Linked DNA regions of Elephas maximus indicus. The protein of the gene in region 2 purifies or fractionates together with the protein of the main gene of each other region. This does not show direct contact. Links are inferred from orthologs where the notes say so. Each region holds a gene or a part of one and is shown on either strand. Other genes may lie near its edges. The genes, in order: SESN2, MIOS and DEPDC5.

Region 1 (7,727 bases), on a different chromosome or scaffold from region 2:
AGTGCCAGCTAAGCTATTATGAGGCAAATAGTTATGAGCATTTATTAGGTGCTAAGAACAGTGGAGGGCAGGGGATGAGATCTGCAGGATGTATCCTTTGGGTGCTTCTAGTCCAGCAAGAGAAACAGAAAAGAAGTACCTAATTAAATTATACAACGGTTTCACTACAATTGGGACAAAAGCTCCTAGGCAGCGGAAGGGGGACTGAAGTCGGTATGCACAAGGGACTTATCTGATGGGGGAGGAAAGGCCTCCCCAAGGAAGTGATATTTGAAGAAGTAATTTAACAGCCCAATAAGACTCTGAAAGCATACTACCAGCACTAGAGTGAAGCTCTCAGAACTTACTGGAGATACATCTATCTCAAGGCCTTCACCCACTCAAAGGGCATGTTGTGAACTCACCAGAGTGCTGAGGGGGCTGCACATCTGGGTCTTCAGTGGGGCCTTGGGTACCATGCTCTGTAAGATCAGGAGCACCCCACTGTCTTCTGAGGGTTCCTGCTTAAGCACACAGCTCCTTCACAAGGTCCTCTTTTCTACCAGACACCACCAGCTTTCCCCACTGCTGACATCTAAATGCCACTCCCTCACAGCCTGCCCCAGCCACCTGAGCCATTCCATTCTCCTCTGACCACTTCTCAGGCACTGTCCCAGAGAGGGATGCACACTACTCTCATCTCAGACAGGAGGGTAAGCTCAGGCATCCCCCTGTGAGACACTGAGTAATGGGAAATGTATGTCATGGCCACATTCTCACAACAGTTAGCATGTCAGATGCAGTTACTATGTTCCAGGCATTGTGCTTTGGTCTTTTGCTTGTATTCTCAGTTAATTCTCCCGATTGTCATTCAGGGATACTATCAAATCCCCATGTGAAGAAGGTGTGGACCAGAGAAGGTGATCACTTGGCCAAGGTCACACAGTGAGTGAGTGGGAGGGCTGGCACATGAACCCAGCTAACTCTGGCTCCAGTGCCCAAGTGCTCTCAGTAATAACATTTCTGTTTTTTTTACAAAGAAAGAAACAGACTCAGAGAGTAAAATGACTTGGTCAAAGTCACATGGCTGAGAAGGAACAAGAGTGGGGGCCATTCCTCCCCATGTAGCTCCTAACTATGGTCCAAACAGAAAAACCAAACCTGTTGCCATTGAGATGATCTGAGACTCGCCTCTCTCTGTCCTTATAGAGACCCTATAGGACAGAATAGAACTGTCTCATACAGTTCCCAAGGCTGTAAGTCTTTACTGAAACAGACTGCCACATCTTCCTCCCTGAGTGGCTGGTGGGTTGAACCACCAACCTTTTCAACCTTTTGGTTAGCAGCAGAGCTCTTAACACTGTGTCAGCAGGGCTCCTTAAACCACGGTGGGGGAGGGGGGATTAAACTCAAACTAACAGAAATCCAGGACACAATCCCTCTACCACTGAAGCTAGGAGCCCCAGAAACCATGTTGCTCAGAGAAGGGCAGAGATTTTCCCTGTCACACAGCTCAGGACTATCACTATTCTGACTCCCATCCCCAGGAATACACCTGCTTCAAGCTGCCTGGAAAGAAAAGAAACAAGCAAAACTCTCTGAAGTGCCAAGCACACTCTGAAATCCTAGGGACACTCAGGCCAAAGAATGAGCTCCCTGGGTGAGGTTAGAGAAGGGAATCTCTCCCTAAGCCCCTCCTGGGCTTCAATTTTCTCATCTGTAAAATGGGGCTATAGTATAGCTCGCATTTTGCTGGTTTAGTCCTGAGGATTTAGAGAAAAAGCAGGCCTGGCATCTAGTAGGTCCATTATCGCTTGTCGGTGAATGTCAGTCAGATTAGGCCCAACCTTATTCCTGGCCTCACCGCAATGCCTTTCCGGGGTACAAAACAAACTTCAGGGCCATCAGACCACTCAGAAGGGCACTGCCTAATCTGCGCTAGGCTTTGGGAGCGCAGCCTGGGTTCCCCCCACCCCAAGCCCCTCTCCTGCCATCTCTGGCCGCGGCCACCACCGGCCGGGCAGCCAGCCAAGCCCCCGGAGCGCCCGCGGCCCCGCCCCCTCTCGCTAGCAGACCGCAGCCCTCTCCAAAACAGGGGGTGCAGGAGGAGCGAGGGTGCAGGGAGGGGGACCAGGTCGGCCTTCGCCGGCCAGCCCTAGGTGCCCGACTGCCGGCGCTGGGGGATCGGAGCGGGGACGTATCCTAGAAAGAGTCCCCTGCCCGCCTGCCCCCGCCAAGAGGAAGGGAATCTACGGAAGGGGGCGGGGAGGAGCGGTCGGGCCGCTCGGGACGGGATTTGCCTGGACTTGAAGACGCTCTCGACAAGAGACCAGACACTAGAGAACCTCGGGAAGGCTCCCTTCTCATTGGCCAGGGGTCCGAGGGAGCTGGGAGGGCTGCGCAGCCCCGGGGGGAGGGGGGCGAGGGCCAAGGCTGCCAGTTGATGCAACCCTGCTCCTGGGTTACGCGCTTCGCCCCGCTTCCCCGAGCTCGCGGGGCGCACGGACTTATCTCGGGACAGCCCGAGGCTTGGACGCGGTTCGGGCTTCAAGAGAAGAGTGGCGTCGCTCGGCCTCTGCTTACCTCTCCGGCTCCAGCGCCGCCGCCGCCCCGGGTGAACGGCAGGTAGCCCTTGAGCTCCGCGCGGCGCTCGGAGTCCGCAACGATCATGGTATGCGCCAAGATCGAGCCTCTGCTCGCAGACGACCGGTGCACCGGAGCGGGAGTTTGGTCGGACGCACGTAGGAAGCCGGGACCCCGGGCAGCACGGGAGGTTCTAGAACCCTGAGGTGCCTCTCGGGGCTCCAGAACGCTCCGAAAGCCCAGAATCCGAGAACGGCAGCTGCTGCACTGGATTCTCCTCCAGCCCGGTTTCTGGAACGGTAAATGGCTTCGGGCTCCGACGACTGGTCGCAGCGCGGGGGTTTTCACGGCCCGGGGCGCCTCGGAAGTCCGCAATGGCCAGGGCTGCTCGCGGACTCTGCGCTCCTCAGCATCCCCGCCGCGGAACTGCCAGCGCTCCCTCGGCTCTGACACTCAGCCCGCTGCGGTCCCCGGGGGAGGGCGGGGACACAAAAGCCCCGCGCCACAGCCAATCAGATGCTTGTTTCCCGGGTAGGCGGGGCGACACCTCCCTCTAGGGCCGACTACTCAGCCAATCGGCACCGGGAAGCGCCCGGGAACTCTGGGAGCTGTAGTCTGGCCCAAACGAATGCTGCAAACTTTTGCAACAGGGTTTTGTCAGAGCGCAGGCAATACCAGACGAGAGTGACGGCCCGGAGAGTCATTAGGACTGTATGATGAAACGGGACTTCACCAGGCTGGACCTGAGAGCCAAGTGTGAAATCCCTCCCAAGTGCATCCTTCAACTTTCTCGCTCCTGGAGAGACTGGTTAGAGTTAGGAGAGGTTTTGGCCCACTTTGTTCAATGGTGCTAATAGTAGAGTATTTCTACTACTTGAGAACACCTAACAACAACTACAATAGTAGAGCTGAACATCAGATCTTCGGAAGTCAGAGGGCAGAGCCCTATTCCCCCTAGGCTCCGGGAGGACTCAACTTTCAAATGTACCACGAATAGGGAAACCACCCTATTTGGGGAGTCTCTGGAAAAAGCCTTCATTCATTGAAATGCCATTGGCAACCTATGTCTAACCTCAATCCCTATTGCCGCAGTTTCCTCCCTCTGCTTCCCTGGGACCTCAGGTCCTGTTTTCCATTCTTGCCAGCCACCTACTTGAAACTGTGACAAGGTGTTGTGCTGGGTCTCTTCTCCCCTCTCTCTGGCCTCTCCTCTGACTCCTCTTTCTCCCCCCACCCCCTGAAAGTGGGTGTTCCCCAAGTTTCTGTTTTTATTCCTCTCTCCAGGCACACTCTCACTCCCTGATCTCATCCACTTCCTGGCTTTTGGCAAGGAAGTCACCCCACCAACACCTCAAAGCTGAATTCCTCCCCCATCCTCTTCACTCAGAGCCTTCACAGATTTTCTTGAGTTCCACTTTTTGTTTCAATTTTAAAGGCATTGTCTACCCTGGACATGGATCCTGGCAGAGCAGGGGTCTTCTCTGATATTGAGTCTAGGATTATGATTCCAAAGATGAGCCTCTGACTTGGTCTCCTGCCTCCAGCCTTTTGGGAGATGGAAATTAATTTCACCTTCTGTCGAGTTCCCAAGGCACTTGGGCTGGGTCTCTATTATAACACTTACCATACTCTACCCTGTATGGTAATTTTCTGTGTATAGGTCTCATCTGACCCTTTTGAGTTCCTTGACATCTTTGTCTCCTGCCCTATTCCTCCTAGCACAATGTCCTGCCAATAATACACCCTTGGTAACTGAATTTTCCTTTGAATGGAATTCTCCTCTAAACCACCTTATGTCAGATTGAACGTTCATTGAAAAAATTTACTCTGTAATGTCAATCTTCAGATCAAAAAGCTTTAATGGTATTTCATCAACTACAGAATAAAGGTCAAACCCCTAGACTGACATTCAAGGCCTACCAAGACCTGCCTCAACTTACCTTTCCAGTTCTACTTGCCACACCCATGTCCTTGTTTGACCTTCAAGCTTTTCTTCCAGTAGTTCTCTCTGCAAATCTCTGCCCATTGAAACCCAATCCAGAATTCAATGCCTTCAGTTCTTCGTGGTCTGAATGAAGGTTTCCAGCTACCACTTCCTCCTCCAGGTGTTGCTTTTTCGGCCCAGCTAAAAGTAATCTCTCTTACTCAACTCCTACAACACATTGTTTCTACCTTATTATACTTCTGGTTTCTAAACTGGATACAGCTTTGCTATCATGTCTGTATGTTTACCTTCTCCCTCCAGATAACAATGGAATATGTTATCAATTACTTTTACAAAGTTAGGGAGCAAGCTCAAACAGGTAAAATTGCTTGTCCAACATCACAAGAGATCTTCTTTTGACTGCACCAGGCTGTGCCAGAGCTCCTTTAAGGCAGAAATTGTCTAATTGTCTCTGTATTCCCTAACAGCATGCAGTGGATCCTCAGTAAATATTTTGAAGTAATGAGTTTTAATTACTTTCCTCTGTAGAATAACCCTTCAGAATCTTCAAGGATGTGACTAAATCATTCCCATGGTTTCACTTACAAAGTTAGTAATTTTGTGAAAAGGAAAAGCAGAGATACTGATATTCTAAAGTGGATGCTCTTTTGTGACCCAGTCTCCAAGGAAGGAAAGATTGGAAGAGGCAGGGACACTGACATTGGTCCAGGATACATCCGTTGTCTCATGTAACTCTTACCACAACTTTCTGAGGTTGGCAGTATGCTCCTATTTGACATATAAGGAAACTGAGACTCAAGAAGTGTGTTGACCAAGGTCAGATAGCTCATAATAGGCCGAGCAAGGAATCAAACCCAGGCAGGAATGACTCCAAAGCAAAAAACACCACTGTGTCACTAATGAAAGATGGAAGTGAACATGTAAGGAGCAGGCTGGTATAAGAAACTGATGCTTAAAGCAGAATTCTAATATATTAATTGAGAGCAAAAAACACTACTGTCAGGTGGCTTATACTTGGTGGGCCGGCACATCCCTTCTTGTGAGAAAGTCTCCATGAAAAGCCAAGTTATCATCTGAAGGTGACTAGGACAGCTGGAATCTGAGCAAAAGGAACCAAGGAAAAGGTGAATCATTGAACTGGCTCTACTCAGGGCAAACCTGCTGGTTAGGGCCCTGGCTGCTTCCCTCCCTCTTTCAATTCAGTAAGTTTTATTGACCATCTAATGTACACCAGGAGTCCGTGAGTGGTGCAAACAGTTAACATGCTTGGCTGCTAATTGAAAGGTTAGTGGTTTGAGTCTACCCAGAGGTGCCTTGGAAGAAAGGCCTGGCAACATCCAAAAAATCAGCACATCGAACACCCTGTGGGGCACAGTTCTACACCGACACATATGAGGTCGCCATGAGTTGGAACTGACTCAATGGCAACTGGTTAGTGTATACCAGGCACTGTGCTGGGCTCTGGAAATTCAGTAGTGAAGCATCCAGCCCCGTGAGGTGTGGCCTGGTGACACAGGCTGGACACATTCCCTCTCCTCCACACTTTTTGTTTCACTCTCCTCGAGTTTTGAGTTCTGTAAAGATCTCCTCCCTCCTGTTGCCATACTCTCTTGCACCAGCTGTGTTGAGGACACTGATTGGCCAAAGCTTTTTTATTCCTCAATCATATTCCAGTCCTGAAGTGACATCTAGATTTGGCTTGAAGTATTTCTGAGATTTCCTCAGTCTCGGACCCCTCTCAGATTATGACTCTAATGGTAGTCCTCATGTGTTCTATTTTCATTCTTCCTGGATTAATTTTCCAATCACATATTCTGGGGTCATTTTACTATAATGACCTTGTATCTTGACTATTCCTGGGGCAGTGATTTATCACCCCAGATGTCATTTTTTTTGGTTCTTCATATTGTTCTTGTTTCTCCCCATTTCCACTCTCATCTCAGAACACAATTCTGGCCCTGGGGGAGCTTTCAGGTAAGAAGCCAAATCCCGTCTGGTTTGATAAAGCCAAGGGAGACCCACCCTCCATGGTTTATTCACAGATTCATTCTTTTTAATTACTCATTAAGCAGGCATGGTGCTACGTGCTGAGGGAGGTCCTTCACTCACCTAGCTGACAGGTCCAGAACTGTCAAGCTTCAGAATCACAATTGGAATTGTCTCCTGGAGCTGCGAATTAGGGGGCAGGCTCCACAGACCCTTGGAGAAGAAGCCAGCTACCTCCTGGGTAAGTGGAACAGAAAGAGTATGGCCCAGGAATCAGGAAACTCAGGTGCTAGTTTTTAGCTGTGTGACCCAAGGTGAATTTTTTCAGCTTTTAGGATGTTTCCTTGTTTGCAAAACAAAAGGAATTGAAATTAGCTCTAACCCTCAAGAGCCACTGTGGAGAGTACTGGTGTTGGGCAATGCATATAATTCTGTTTCCTCGGCTGAATACTAAGGACAAAAACTTCAAGTTTGAAAAAACTCTCCCTTCGTAATAAATACAATATGAAAACTGACCAGCTTGTTTTGTCGGGTGAGGGAGCCCTCGGCGCCCCCTGCAGGCCGGACTCTGCTACAGCTGAGCCCGAACAGGCTTGTAAAAGGGGTGGCTTGAGGGTCACCCCAGTTTTGAGTTTACAGGATTGTGAGGTTCCATGTCACCGCCGGGAAGTCCTGGAAAACGGCTAGGTGACAGCTAAATAAAGACAGCGTGGTTGCAGAGCATTCCCCTGCTGCCCAGAGGGACCAGACTCCCAGGAGACTTTATAGCCTGGATGCACTTCCCATTTGTTTCTTTGTCTTACAGACTGGAAACCTGAGGCACAGAGAGAAAAGAATTTGCCCAGGGTCACCGAGCAAGATGGCCACAGAGCAGAGACTAGAACCCTGGGGTCCAGGCCTCTAGTCCAGGGCTACTTGCACTATAATAGGCTGTCCTAGGAGCCTCACATTTCCAGAAAGAACAACTTCTGTCTTTGCTCTAGTGTATTCCCCTCTCTTTCCCACCTCCTTTCCATTCTTAGAGGACCTATATGTCCCCAGAAAGCTGATCTGAGTCCTGTCCCTGGAACAATGCCCCTAGCCCTTGCCACCATCTTGTCCCACCTCGCTCTACCCTCCAGACTTCGTTTCGCTCCAAAAAAAAAAAAAAAAAAGCTGGGCGTGGAGTCAGGCTATCTGAGTTGAAGGTTCTAGTTCTAACCTTTTCTATATGAACTTGGGCAAGTTAAGCCAC
Region 2 (7,278 bases):
GAGTCAATCAATGCAGCAAACTTCATTGTTGTCTATTTTAAGAAACTGCTACAGGCACCCCAACCTTCAGCAACCACTACCCTGATCATTCAGCAGCCATCAACACTGAGGTAAGACCCTCTACCAGCAAAAGATTAAGACTTGCTAAAGGCTTAGATGATGGTTAGCATTTTTTAGCAAATTACGTTTTTTTAAGTAAGGTATGTAGATTGTTTTTTTAAACATAATGCCATTGCACACTTAACAGACTATAGCGTAAACCTAACTTTTATATGCACCAGGAAACCAAAAAATTCGTGATTTGCTTTATTGTGATATTCGCTTTACTGTGGTGGTCTGCAATCAAACCAGCAATATCTCCAGGGTATGCCTGTACTCAAGGTCATATGTTGCTCACTCTTGTGGGCTTGTTTTAATTTTCTTCAGCTTCAGCTTGAACCTGTTCTGCAGTGAGCACCTAGCCTTGTCTGGACTGATGATAACAAAGCTTTTCCATTGTCTCTTTACACAGATGTAGTTAATTTGATTCCTGTGTATTTCATAAGGCAAGGCCCACGTGTACAGTCGCCGTTTATGTTGCTGAAAAAAGATATTTGCAATGAAGAAGTCACTGATCTTGCAAAATTCTATCATGTACTCGTTGTTTCTATCACCAAGGCCGTATTTTCCAACTACCAATCCTTCTTCGTTTCCAACTTTCACATTCCAATCACCAGTAATTACCAATGCATCTCGATTGCATGTTTGATCAATTTCAGACTGCAGAAGTTGGTAAAAATCTTCAATTTCTTCAACTTTGGCATTAGTGGTTGGTGCGCAAATTTGAATAATAGGTGCTTCAAGGATAGATCTTGAAATGTTCTTTTTGACAATGAATGTGACACCATTCCTCTTCAAATTTTCATTCCCGGCCAGTACTACCCGAATTCAAAACGGCCAATACTAGCCCATTTCAACTCACTAATGTCTAGAATATCTATCTTCAAGCGTTTCATTTCAGTTTTGACAACTTCTAATTTTCCTAGATTCCTACTTCATACATTCCACGTTGCAATTAATGGATGTTTGCAGCTATTTCTTCTCATTTTGAGTCATGCCACATCGGCAAATAAAGGCCGCAAGAGCTTGACTCCATCATCATCATGAAGGTCGACTGTACTTTGAGGAGGTAGCTCTTCCCCAGTAGTATTTTCAGTGCCTTTCAGCCTGAGGGGTTCATCTCCTGGCACTACGCTTGACAACATTCCACTGCTACTGATAAGGTTGTCACTGGCCAATTCTTTTTGTAGATGCCTGGTCTTTCTTCCCAGTCTGTCTTAGTCTGGAAGCTCTGCTGAATCTGTCCACCATGGGTGACCTTGCTGGTATTTGAAATACTGGTAGCATAACTTCCAGCATCACAGTAACACACAAGCCACCACAGTACGACAAACTGACAGATGAGTGGTAGAGCCACTCATTAGCTAGACCCTAACAAGCACCTTATTACACCAAGACCATAAAACAAAAATAGAACCTATACTATCTCTATCTCACAAAGTTGTGAAAATTAAACAAAGTAAGTTCATCACATCACACAGATGTTAGTATCACTACCATTCCCTGAAACAGCCCTGGCATCTAATGTTTTCAAATGTTAGAGGCATTGACAAATTGGGGGTATACAGGAAATGAGGTTTGCAATAATTAAAAAACAAACAAAAAAAAAACACTCCATTGCCATCCACTGGATTAGGGCTTATATTTGTCTCCTCACCTTCAAGTTTAACAAGTGCTCATGTCCTATCAACAGTTTCTGAGCAAAGGAAAGCCATGTTGATTCTGTGTTCATCTGCAGAACATCTATAACAGCACTGTCCAACAAAAATTCAGTGTGAGCCATAGAATCTCAAATTTTCTAATAGCCATATTAAAAAAAGTAAAAACAAATAGATGAAATTAATTTTAACATTCTTGTTTGTGTACCGAGTCTTAGGAATCCTGTGTGACATCTCAATTTGGACTATACCCATTTCAAGTGCTCAGCGGCCCCATGTGCTAGAGGCTACCGCGAATTTTTACAATACTAAGTGCACGGATTATCCAATCACCCTTTCACACCCCCCCCTTTTTTTTTTCTGTCTTCTACTTTTCTTACCACAGCAAATTACAACCGTAGCAGTTTCAAGAAATTCCTACCATCACTATGTTCTAGGAGATGCACTGCATGTATCCAAATTTTCCTTAAAATGGTTATACAAAAGGCCTGCAAATAAGTCATTTGCTAAGCAATTTAGCAATGCCCATGGCTTAAATGAGCAGCTTCATTTAGCCTCTTCAAGAATTTTAAATCACCAGTATTTGAAGAGAACAGAGCTAAACAAACGTTCGGGTGAAAGATCCTTTAAGAAGTATTTAACAGGGTACAACTGGAACAGGGCTTGTTGCTATTCCGGGTAAATCAGGAATCTGAGGGCGACACCCACGCTTCGGACAACTAGCTGAGCCTCCCGTCAAAGGCCGGACGCGGTTCCGCACAAACCCGCAGCGGCGGAGTCCGCAGCGCAGCCTGGCGCTCCTGAGACCAGCCCCACGCACCCTCGAGCCGCCCGCAGCCCCGGAGCTCTAGCCGAGGCCCAGCCGACCGCCCAGCGCGGTTGCCCAGCAGAGTGGAACGCAGGCCGGGCACCTCGCGCCTCCGCTCCCAGCCTGTCCCCGCCCACACCGCTTAAGTGGGCTTTCCCAGACCCCCTGCGGCGGCCCCGACGCTGCAAGCCCTGGACGCCCGCCTGCCTTCCGGGGAGCGGAGACGCGGCCCGGACCGCACTCACTGACCTGAGGTGGCAGCGCGGCCGCTCACAGCTGCTTCCGGCCTGGTCGCCGACACTCCCGCCGTGGCAGTCCCGACGCGGGCAAGATGGCGGCTGCGGAGGCTCGACCAGTGATCTGCACCACCCCGTCAGGCACCAAGACCCCACCACGGCGCCTCCGGGACGTGCAGCCTGCGCCTTGGCCTCAGAAAGGGTGTTCCCGGCCCTTGAGCCCCGCCCCTTGAGCCCCGCCCCTCCCCCGCACCGGGGATTGCCCCGCCCTGGGGCGGGATCATTTCCTGAGAATCCACGCCCCTTGCACCCGAGCTCTCGCCCACCTGCGGGCCCCGCCTCGCGCGTGGAGCCTCGGGCGGGAAATCGTGCACTCAGATCTGGCTGGACTGCACCTCAGATCTGCTTTACCGTTTTTAAGAATAAGTTCATAGACTTTGCTTCATTTGCTTAATTTCGATTTTCATTAAAAATATTTTGCAGGCGATATAGTAGAAAAATCAAAGGTACTTCGTGCGTCATTTATTCACTTATTCATTCATTCCACAAACGCGTCTTGAGGCCCCTGTTACGTGCCATGCACCATCCTGGAATGCTGGGAATACTGGAGTGAACAAAATGGACACGGTGCCTTGTTAGAACTGGTACAGTGCTACACCGGAGGGGCGCCCTTCAGTGTTGGAGGTCAAGAAAGCTTTCTTCAGAACCGCTAGGCTGAGACATGAAGAGCAAGTATGGGGTTAGTCAAGAAAGAGAACAGGGCAGAGAAAGTTGGAGAGAACGGGGAAGCAGCAGAGTATGGCTGGAAGTTAGAGTGAGAAGTGGAAGTGGAGAGAAATTAAAATATATCAGGAAGATGTCTGGAAACTAGGTTAGTGAGGGTGGAAGGACTTTTTCCGAAAGGAAATAGTTGAGTCATTGAGGATTTTTAACCAGGTGCTGTGATATGATCGTTTTTTGTGTGGAGAGAAGGAGGGAGGGTTAGGCTAAGTATCTGAATGACAACTGATGGCCTACACCATCAGAGATATGTAGAACAGGGATGAAGTGATGTTGGTACTCTGAGGAATTTAGAAGGTGGAATGATGACTGACTTGATGATTGAGTGAGGGAGGAAGAAGGAGGAGTCCAGGATGGTGACCAGCTTTCTAGCTCTGGTAATTTGAGTGGAGAGTGCTGCCACAGTCACTGAGTGAGTGAATACAGATGAAACAAGACTGACACAGAGGCTTTCTTGAGATGTCTGGCGCTTTTTGCTTGTCTGTTCTTGCTTAAAAGGGTGATTTTAGGCTTGTTGTGATTGCTGTACACAGTATAATAGCTTAGTCCTGATAATGTTCAAGGCAAGCAGTTTTGGTGAGAAGATGAGTTTGGGGAAATTGTTACTTGTGGAAATCTGAGGCTCCTTATCACTCCTGCCACTGGAGAAATGGAGACTAAAGAAAGTGCTGAATTCCTGAGGGAAGATACCACAAGATTTATCACTTGGAACAAACACTATCTTGTGAATCTTCTCAATGGTTTTGGCCCTGCTTCAAAACCACTACACAAAACCTCGAATCAATACAAGTCTCTTTCTTATTCACTCCTACCATACGTGGCTGAGCAAAACCTTTCCCCCTCATGCTCAGGAGATGACTTTGCCTCCTTCTTCAGAAAGAAAATTTAGACTACTAGGTAGAATTCCCACAGCCTCCTACGGCTTCCTCTTTCTCTCCTGTAACATCTTCATTCACTTCCATTCTTAACTTCTAGCTGACACAGAGAAAGAGGAAGAACCCATGTTGTTTCCCTCTTTAGGAACTTGTGCTATCGATTTTCTCCTCTTCCATATGTCTTAACATCTCCATTTTTATTGGCTCTTTACTTTCAACATATAAACATGTTCGTGTCACTCCCATTTTGTCCTCAAAGGAGAGTTCCATATTGGCTCTCTCCAATCCCACTCCCGCCTGTCTCTCTTGAACTCACTCAACTCAGGCTTTCATGTCTACCACTCCACCAAAACTGCTCTTTCAATGACCTCCAGTTTCACTGGCCATGGCTTCACCTTTGCAGCTTTCACACGTGACCACTTTCTCTCTCTTGAAATACTTTCTTCATTTGATTCTATATCACCAGTCTCCCTAGTTCTCTTTCTGTCCCTATGACTCTGCTGTTAGTTGAGCATGAAAAGCATGCTCTTGCCTCAGATCCTCTGCACTGGCTGCTCCTCTGCCTGGAATGCTCTTACAACAGAAATCTGCATGAATCATATTCTCACTTCATTTGATACTCTGCTCAATTGTCCCTGACTACATATAAATTAGCTTTTCTGTTTCTCTGCCTTATTTTTCATCCTGGCACTTACCACAACTTCACATACATATTCATCTCTTTATTTGCCTCTAGCTGTTTTCCCCTTCTCGAATATCTGCTCTGTATCTCCAGTCTCCTTTCCGTTGCTTTACTTTTTTGTAGTAGAACATATCTCCATCCACAAGTTTTAGCAGAGCGCTGATGACCTAGTTAGAAACTACATTCTACGGACTCCCTTTCGCATAGCTAGGTGTGGCTATGTCAAAAAGTTGTAACCAGTAAGATTTGACTAGGGCTTCTGGCTCACGTCCCTTGAAAGTAAAGCTGCTTACTATCTTCTTCTCTTATCCCTTCTTGCTGTCTGGAAAATGGCAAGAAAGGGAGATGGCAACCATGTATTGAGGAAGGCCAAGTTGCTCCATCAGCCTAGGTCCCAGGCTAACTTGGGAGAGATGAGGCACTTCCTCCTGGAACCAACCACAAACTACCAGACCATTAATGAGAGAAAAAGTAAACTCTGTTCTTTTTTAAAATAGTTCTGTTTGTTAAGTTGCACGAGGTTTGACGTTGTTGTTGTTAGGTGCTGTCGAGTCAGTTCTGACTCATAGTGACCCTATGCACAACAGAACGAAACACTGTCCGGTCCTGAGCCAACCTTACAATCGTTGTTAAGCTTGAGCTCATTGTTGCAGCCACTGCGTCAATCCCCCTCGTTGAAGGTCTTCCTCTTTTCCACTGACCCTGTACTCTGCCAAGCATGATGTCCTTCTCCAGGGACTCATCCCTGGTGACAACATGTCCAAAGTATGTAAGATGCAGTCTCACCATCCTTGCTTCTAAGGAGCATTCTTTTTTTTTTTTTTAAATAATATTTTATTGTGTTTAGGGTGAATGTTCACACAGAAAATTAAGTTCCTGTTTAACAATTTCTACAGAAATTATTCAGTGGTATTGGTTACATTTTTCACAATGTGTCATTCCTAAGGGGCATTCTTGTTGTACTTCTTCTAAGACAGATTTGTTCATTCTTTTGGCAGTCCATGGTATATTCAATATTCCTCGCCAGCACCACAATTCAAAGGCATCAACTCTTCTTCGGTCGTCCTTATTCATTGTCCAGCTTTCACACGCATATGATACAACTGAAAATACCATGGCTTGGGTCAGGTGCACCTTAGTCCTCAAGGTGACATCTTTGCTCTTCAACACCTTAAAGACGTCCTTTGCAGCAGATTTACCCAATGCCATGCGTCTTTTGATTTCTTGACTGCTGCTTCCATGGCTGTTGATTGTGGATCCAAGTAAAATGAAATCCTTGACAACTTCAGTCTTTTCTCCATTTATCATGATGTTGCTCATTGGTCCAGTTGTAAGGATTTTTGTTTTCTTTATGTTGAGGTGTAATCCATACGGAAGGCTGTGGTCTTTGATCTTCATTAGTAAGTGCTTCAAGTCCTCTTCACTTTCAGCAAGCAAGGTTGTGTCACCTGCATAATGCAGGTTGTTAATGAGTCTTCCTCCAATCCTGATGCCCCATTCTTCTTCATCTAGTCCAGCTTCTCGGATTATTTGCTCAGCATACAGATTGAATAGGTATGGTGAAAGAATACAACCCTGACACACAACTTTCCTGACTTTAAACTAATCAGGATCCCCTTGTTCTGTCTGAATAACTGCCTCTTGACCTATGTAAAGGTTCCTCATGAGCACAATTAAGTGTTCTGGAATTCCTATTCTTTGCAATGTTATCCATAATTTGTTATGATCCACACAGTTGAATGCCTTTGAATAGTCAATAAAACAAAGGTAAACGTCTTTCTGGTATTCTCTGCTTTCAGCCAGGATCCATCTGACATCAGCAATGATGTCCTTGGTTCCACGTCCTCTTCTGAAACCAGCCTGAATTTCTGGCAGTTCCCTGTTGATATACTGCTGCAGCCATTTTTGAATGATCTTCAGCAGAATTTTGCTTGCGTGTGACATTAATGATATTGTTCTGTAATTTCCACATTCGGTTGGATCACCTTTCTTGGGAATAGGCATAAATATGGATCTCTTCCAGTCAGTTAGCCAGGAGGCTGTCTTCCATATTTCTTGGCATAGATGAGTGAGCACCTCCAGTGCTGCATCTGTTTGTTGAAACATCTCAATTGATATTCCATCAATTCCTGGAGCCTTG
Region 3 (7,230 bases), on a different chromosome or scaffold from region 2:
ATGTGTTACAGAGTAGAACTACTCTATAGAGTTTCCTTGACTGTAATCTTTACAGAAGCAGATCACCAGGCCTTTCTTTTGTGGTACCACTGGGTGGATCTGAACCACCAACCTTTACATTAGCAGTCCAGCACAAACCATTTTCCCCACCTCAGAAAAAAAAAGGACCCAACCCATTGCCATCAAGTTGATGCCAACTCACAGTGACCCTATAGGACACAGCAGAACTGCCCCATAGTTTCCAAGGAGTGCCTGGTGGATTCAAACTGCTGACCTTTTGGTTAGCAGCTGTGGCACTTAACCACTACACCATCAGGGTTTCCCCACCACTCAGGGACCTTAACATAACCAATAAAAAAGATAAAAACGTGTTGCTGTCAAGTCAATTCCAACTCATAGCCACACTACAGGACAGAGGAGGACAGCCCATAGGGTTTCCAAGGCTGTAATCTTTATGGAAGCAGATGGCCATATCCTCCTCCTGCAGAGTGGCTAGTAGGTTCAAACCACTGATTTTTTGGTTAGCAGCCAAGCGCTTAACCACTGTGCCACCAAAAAAAAGGGCTCATAAAATGAATACCCAACAAAAATTCAGTCTTGTAAAGCAAAGCAATGGGTAAATTCCAAATTTTATTTGGTATATTGTTTCCATTGATGGTTTTATCCCAAATCTTCTGTGACGCCTTCCCCTAACCTCCATAGTCTGAATTAAGCTCCCTAAGCACATATTTCATTCTGCTTCATTTTATCATTTCCTTATTGCATGTCTGTCTCTTTCATCAAGTTCAGAGTTCCTTAGGGACAAGGGACCTTGTATTCATTTTATGTTTGGCACAGGTATAAACCTAACATATAAGTTAGTTGTATTTTTATTTTCTTTATAGTCCAGTCCCGCAAAAGACTGGGTATAGCACCCAGCTACATTTGTCTTGTAAACATGAAATATGAACTGTACAGTGACACTGTATATACTGTAACTTTGTATCTGTCCCTCTGCCAAGAATTATTTCTGCCATCTCTTCAATTCTACTCCACAGATGTTTAGGCAGCATCAACAACATACAAAGTATAGTGTTGACGACAGACTACATTTTAGCAGAAATTGGGTTTTAAATATAGCAACACTGATATATCTTTGTCCCAGTAATTACAACAGCTACATTTATTAAGGACGAGCCCTGCACTCTGCAAAACACTTTACGTGAATCACCTTACTTAATCCTCACAACACCCTATGATATAGAAGCTACCATATCGTGTTGGTAATTCCCATTTCTGAAGCAAAGAAGATTGTAAGACACAAGGAAAAGTTAAAGCTACACCATATTACCAAGTCCCTAAGGAGCTTTGGTGGTACAGTGGTGAAGTGCTTGGCTGCTAATCAAACGGTCGGCAGTTTGAACCCACCAGCCACTCCACGGGAGAAAGATGTGCCAGTTTGCTTACATAAAGATTACAGCCTTGGAAACCCTATGGAGAAGTTTTATCATGTCCAACAGGGTCACTATGAGTTGGAATCGGCCCAATAGCAATGGGTTTGGTTTTGGTTCGGTACTATGTACCTTCCTATCGTGCGGATTCATAGACTCCCAGTGCTAAGAGAAATACAGAAACTACTCCAAAGCCCCTGAGTTTGCAGCTAAGACAAATGAGGGGCTTGGCTTGCCCAGGGTGACAGGAAAAGTTAGAGTCAGGACTGGCCCTCAGATGCTGGTTTTCCCAACTCACAGTTTCGTGCAGGACAACATGCTGCATCCTGCCCCTTCTCACCATGCTTGGGAGCCAGGCAGTAGTTCACACTGTGATCAACTCTGTCTTGTGCACACCTACACTACTTCTCTCTCACTAAATGTGAAAATAAATGCCACTTTATTTTCTGTTATCTTTCACACCAGTACTGGACTGAAATTTTACAAAATATATATGGTGAATATGTAGTAAACAAAACAATTAAATGAATGAATGGTTTCTTCAAAGTCCGAATGTGAATGCTTTCAGAAAGGACCTGTGTTCTCTAGTCTGACTGCCCTTCCCATCACTGTAATATGCTTGCTGCTTCCCTCAGTTAAGTTGCCTATGTAGCCCCAATTGTCACGAGTCAGTGTGTAGTTTTCAAAGCAACAGACACACCAGAATCCCAGGCAATTTACACAACTCACAAAGATCAATACTGACCACTGCCCCCAAAGCCCTTCTTGTGGATGACAAGTTTGTAGACTTTCGTTGTTCTCATCTTGTATTGTTTCCTTCAGCTGTTCCAATCCAGGGGGAGAGAAGTCATCTTGCCTCCCTGCCATTGATACACAAACAAAAAGGCTGGAATGTCAAATTTTTCCTTGCAACTGCTCTGATGTGGGTCCAGTGGAAATATTCAGCTGAGAGGCAGCACCAACCCCTGGATAAAATCACTCCTCCAATTACAAGGAGGGATGGAGAACAAATACCAGAACAAACAGGACCCCAGAATCTGGGAACTAAGAGGAATTCGGGCCAGTGTCTAGCCCAACCTCCAAGATGACATTCTAACACACACCTAAAGAGAAGACTTGCAGTGAGTGGATCTTGTCTCCATCTAAACCGAGAGCATCTGAATATTAAAAATATTCAGATGTTCTGTGGATGAGGAAAGTGAGGGCCAGAATGGGCAAGGGACTCGCCCAAGGTCACTCAGAGACTAAGAGGCACGTCCACTGTTAAACGTTTCGCCGTCAATGTCCTGGGCAAGGCGACTGTGAAGGAGGCTGGCAGGGGTTCGTTCTCCGAACCTCCATTTGTATAAAGGCTTAGCGGACACGCCTGCCTCCCCACTGCCCCCCACTCCCACATGTCACGGCAAAGGTCGCCAAGGCTCCAAGAGGGGCCGACTCGAACCCCGGCTGCAACCCCCTCCCGCACGACCCCGAGCCCGCTCCCGGGGTGGCTTCCACTCACCGTGGCTCCGGGGCCTCGCGGGCCAGACAATCACCGGATCCCGCGCGCCTCCTCGGGGCGCCGGGCCCACGACCCCACGACCCCACCGCCCGCTCTGCTTCCTCCCCCGAGCCCGAGGCGCCGGCTGGCCTGCACGGACCGCGGAGCGCTCACCTGAGAACCCGCGCCGCCCCGGTGGCTCCGCCCCGGGGCCCGGCCCCCTTCCCGCCCACCAGTCCCGGGCCGCTCCGGCCCGGCCTCCGCTTCGTCTCGATGACCGCGCCACTTCCTCATCCGGGGCTCGCGGGGGGGCGGGGCGTTGCGTGCCGCTCGAGTCGCCGCCGCTCGTTTCGCGCTTGCGGAGCAGCTGCTCGCCGCCCGGTAGGAAATCCTTTACTTTCCAGACGTTTCCGAAGGGAACCGTGGTCTGGTGCTGCGTTTCAGACTTTATGATCCCCAGCTGGGGAGACTCGGGCGAGCCTCCCGAGATCTCGCTGAGCTTCAGCTTCCTGGTCTATAAACGAAATTGACCACCGTCAGGGCTACTGCGAAGCCCAAAAAGTGTTCCTGAGAGGACTTTGGTAAAATGCAGAGGACTAATCCCATGTGACGTAGCGTGATGGCACCTGCTGGGACGTTTCCACTTGGGGGGGGGCTTTACAAAACCTTCCAAATCCCAAATGACGTTTCAGCGACCATAGTTTTGACATACATTTTTATGTAATCAGCATATCTCTAATAGGTGGTTCAAAAAGATACTATCATTATTTCACAGGTGGGGAACTGAGGCTGTGGAGACAGAATTCCTAGGAAGGAAGCATGAGTGGATCCTGACTCTAGTAAGACCGGCTGAGTATTAACTAGCATCTTCGTATCACACACTCGGTCTAATGACGGCTGGGACATCATTCTTCAGGGAGAAACTCAAAGCTGGGTAGGCTGTGCCTGACTCTTGCCAAGGGCTCCTGACAAGTTGCCAGAAGCACCTAATTGACCTATGGTTTTCAGGAAATCTCTTGATTTTGAAAAGTGTAGAAGCAGAAATATTGAAAGAAAAAAAACCCACACACAAGCATCGCATACCACAGAGGAACTTGAGGGTTTATTTTTCAATGGGGAAGCTCATGAACCATCCACTTGTGGTATTGTTATAGCAGCACTAGATAACTAAGACACAGGCTGTATATAAAATATTCTTAAGAAAAGGAGGCCTAGTTGTCCAGTGGTTAAAGGACTCGACTGGTCAGCAGCTGAAAACCACCAGCGGCTCTGCAGGAGAAAGATGTGGCAGTCTACTTTTGTAAAGATAGCCTTGGAAACCCTTTGGGGGTCTCTATGAGTCAGAAGTGACAAAATAGCAGTGGATATTCTTAAGAAGTCAGAAATGAGGACTTAGAAAAAACTAAAATTTGGTTCGAAAAATGGAGCTTTGATTCAGACCTAAATCAGTCATTCCTACACATGCCAAACACCTCATTTTAGAGTGCCCTCACCTGACAGACATCTTTCTTTGATTTCAAGGTTTTTCTTATCCACAAAATGAAATATTAACCATAAAAAACCTAACCAAAACTGCAAAAGCCTGCCAGAATTTGCTCTCTAGCAATGTAAATTTGCTTATCTTCCTAGAAAAGGAGAGCTACGGCTGCTAACCAAGAGGTCGGCAGTTCAAATCCGCTAGACACTCCTTGGAAACTCTATGGGGCAGTTCTACTATGTCCTACAGGGCCGCTATGAATAGGAATCGACTCGACGGCAGTGGGATTGGTTTGGTGGGTTGCTAGAAAAGGATAGTTGTCAAATCATGGCCTCCTAATTTAAATCTTAAAAAACCTCATGGCTGTGAGTGGGTTGAGGGCCAAATTACTACCAGCCAGGCCAGAAGTAAACTGGTAACAGTTGATCTCAGCAAAGGGGGAAGGCAGTGCTCAATCGATCAGGTTAAAATTACCCAATGACTAAACTTCTATATTTCTCCCTCTTCTTTATAAGCCCCATTGTACCTGGCTTCTTCAGCCATTTGCTTTTTAGGGACTCAAAATGGCCTCCCTACATGTGTATAGAATAACTGCCCAGAATAAACCTTATGTTCAAATTCCAGTGAGTTTTTATTATTTTTAACAAAGAATAGGAGTAGAATTGAGAGCCCAGAAATAAGCCCAAACATCTTTGGCCAACTGACTTTTGACAAGGGTGCCAACTCCATTCAATAGGAAAAGAATAGTCTGTTCAACAAATGGTGTTGGGACAATGGGATTTCCAGAATCAAAGAATGAAGTTAGACCCATGCCTCACAGCATACATGAAAATCAACTCAAAATGGGTCAAGGGCCTAAATATAAGAAACAAAACCAAATAACTGTTAGAAGAAAACATAGGGATAATGCTTCAGGACATTGCTTGGGCAATGGATTCTCAGCTATGACACCAAAAGCACAAACAACAGAAGAAGAAATAAATTGGACTTCATTAAAATTAAAAACTTTTGTGCATCAAAGAAATTTAAAAACAAAGTAAAGGGACAAACCTATGGATTGGGAAAAAATATTTGTTAATCATATATCTGATAAGGATCTAATATCCAGAATATATAAAGAACTGCTACAACTCAACAACAACAAAACAAACAACTCAATCAAAACATGGGCAAAGAAACTGAATAGACATTTCACCAAAGAAGATAATCAAGTGGCCAACAAGCACATGAAAAAATGGTCAACATCATTAGTCACTAAGGAAATGCAAGTCAAACCATAATAAGATACCACTTTACCCCCGCTAGGATGGCTGTGATAGTAGAAACAAAAAAGGGAAACAAATGTTCCTCAAGATGCAGAGAAATAGGAACCCTTGTGCCTTGCTGGTAGGAATGTAAAATATTATAGCTCCTATTGAAAACAGTTGAACAGTTCCGCAAAAAGTTAACAGAATTCCTGTAGGCCCAGAAATCCCAATCCTAGGTATGTACCTGAAAGAATTAAAAGCAGGATTGCAAATGGACACGTCAATCTTCACTGCAACACTATTCATAATAGCCAGAAGGTGGAAACAATTGAAATGTCCATCAACAGATGTATGAATAAACAAAGTGTGTGGTATATGCATAAGTTGGAATATTACTCAGCCATAAAGAGACATGAAGTTGTATACTATGTATCACATGGCTGACCTTGAAAACATTGTGCTGAATGAAATGTCAGACACAAAAGGACAAATATATGATCCCACTTATATTAAATATCTAGAATAGGCAAATGCATAGAGACCAAAGTTTATTAGTGGTTACCAGGGACTGAGGGGAGGGAGGAATGTGGAGTTATTGCTTAAGGGATACTGAGTTTCTGTTTAAGGGGTGAAAATTTTTTGAAAGTAGGCAGCAGTAAGGGTTACACAAGATGGTGAAAAGTAATGTCACTGAATTGTATACTTAAAAATGGTTAAAAAACAAAATTTTTTCTTACGTATCTTACCACAATTAGAAAAAAAAGGAACAGCCATGACTGTAAGTCCCATGGAAACCAAAGCTGTCTGCCAGGGCCTGTGGTGCATTGCACATAGTAGATGCTCATTAAACATGGAATGAAATTGATTTGAAATAAATCCAGGTCTTCTTACCTCCAGCCCAGGACTCTTCAAACTCAGCCACTACTTCTCAATCCTTTTGAGTATAAAATCTCATATTTCACACAAAAAAGTTTCTCAGACCTTCTGTTTTAGGCACGCGGTTGCCTGATAAAGTACTTGAAGATATGGATACTGAAAACTTAGGAATGGGTTTAAAATGAATATCTAGTTTATTCAGTCCAATAGCATCTGTATTAGAAAATCCTAGTTTATATAAAAACTGTACATTATTCATAATAAGACAGAGGCCCCCAGGTGCGAAAAATTCCACTGCCTCAATCAGCTTGCTTGGCCTTAAGCTTTACATTAAAACCCTGGTTCCCCTTTCCTTAACTGCTGCTCAAAACTAGAGGAAATTGGCAGAAACCAGTTTAGGAGCCATGTTGATATTCAGGATAACCTTTTAGACCTATGCATAGTAACTTCCCCACCTCTGGGTGGAGTTTTCTGAACACGTGATGCATGAAGTTATATGTAAACCCTGTTGCACCTGCGTAGTATGATTAAGAATGTTGATGTAACTTGTATGAACTTCCTACTCGTAAACCTCTTAAAAACAGCCTTCCCTCTTGCCCTCACAGAGCAGTCTTGGCAGGCTGTTCTTTTCCTTGCCCGACAAAATAAAGGTGTTTTTCTACTCTCCCACCTCAGTCTCTTGTTTATTGGCTGAGACAATTGCGCTGAGTAGAATCTGGG

The links.
Region 1: the proteins of MIOS (region 2) and SESN2 purify together in Homo sapiens (affinity purification with western blotting; 5 studies listed by BioGRID and IntAct, with this or other methods). This does not show direct contact. The link is inferred for Elephas maximus indicus from reciprocal best matches to the Homo sapiens genes MIOS and SESN2.
Region 3: the proteins of MIOS (region 2) and DEPDC5 purify together in Homo sapiens (affinity purification with western blotting; 3 studies listed by BioGRID and IntAct, with this or other methods). This does not show direct contact. The link is inferred for Elephas maximus indicus from reciprocal best matches to the Homo sapiens genes MIOS and DEPDC5.

Annotation. Positions count from the first base shown.
Region 1 is NC_064821.1:68,706,488-68,714,214, reverse strand, and holds the start of SESN2 (sestrin-2), read right to left. Parts: upstream 3,012-7,727; 5' UTR 2,650-3,011; coding exon 2,563-2,649; intron 1-2,562. UniProt on the Homo sapiens protein: Functions as an intracellular leucine sensor that negatively regulates the mTORC1 signaling pathway through the GATOR complex. In absence of leucine, binds the GATOR subcomplex GATOR2 and prevents mTORC1 signaling.
Region 2 is NC_064826.1:68,300,304-68,307,581, reverse strand, and holds the start of MIOS (GATOR complex protein MIOS), read right to left. Parts: upstream 3,020-7,278; 5' UTR 2,815-3,019; intron 1,898-2,814; 5' UTR 1,757-1,897; intron 1-1,756. UniProt on the Homo sapiens protein: As a component of the GATOR2 complex, functions as an activator of the amino acid-sensing branch of the mTORC1 signaling pathway. The GATOR2 complex indirectly activates mTORC1 through the inhibition of the GATOR1 subcomplex.
Region 3 is NC_064840.1:24,435,749-24,442,978, forward strand, and holds the start of DEPDC5 (GATOR complex protein DEPDC5), read right to left. Parts: upstream 3,075-7,230; 5' UTR 2,932-3,074; intron 2,291-2,931; 5' UTR 2,234-2,290; coding exon 2,176-2,233; intron 1-2,175. UniProt on the Homo sapiens protein: As a component of the GATOR1 complex functions as an inhibitor of the amino acid-sensing branch of the mTORC1 pathway.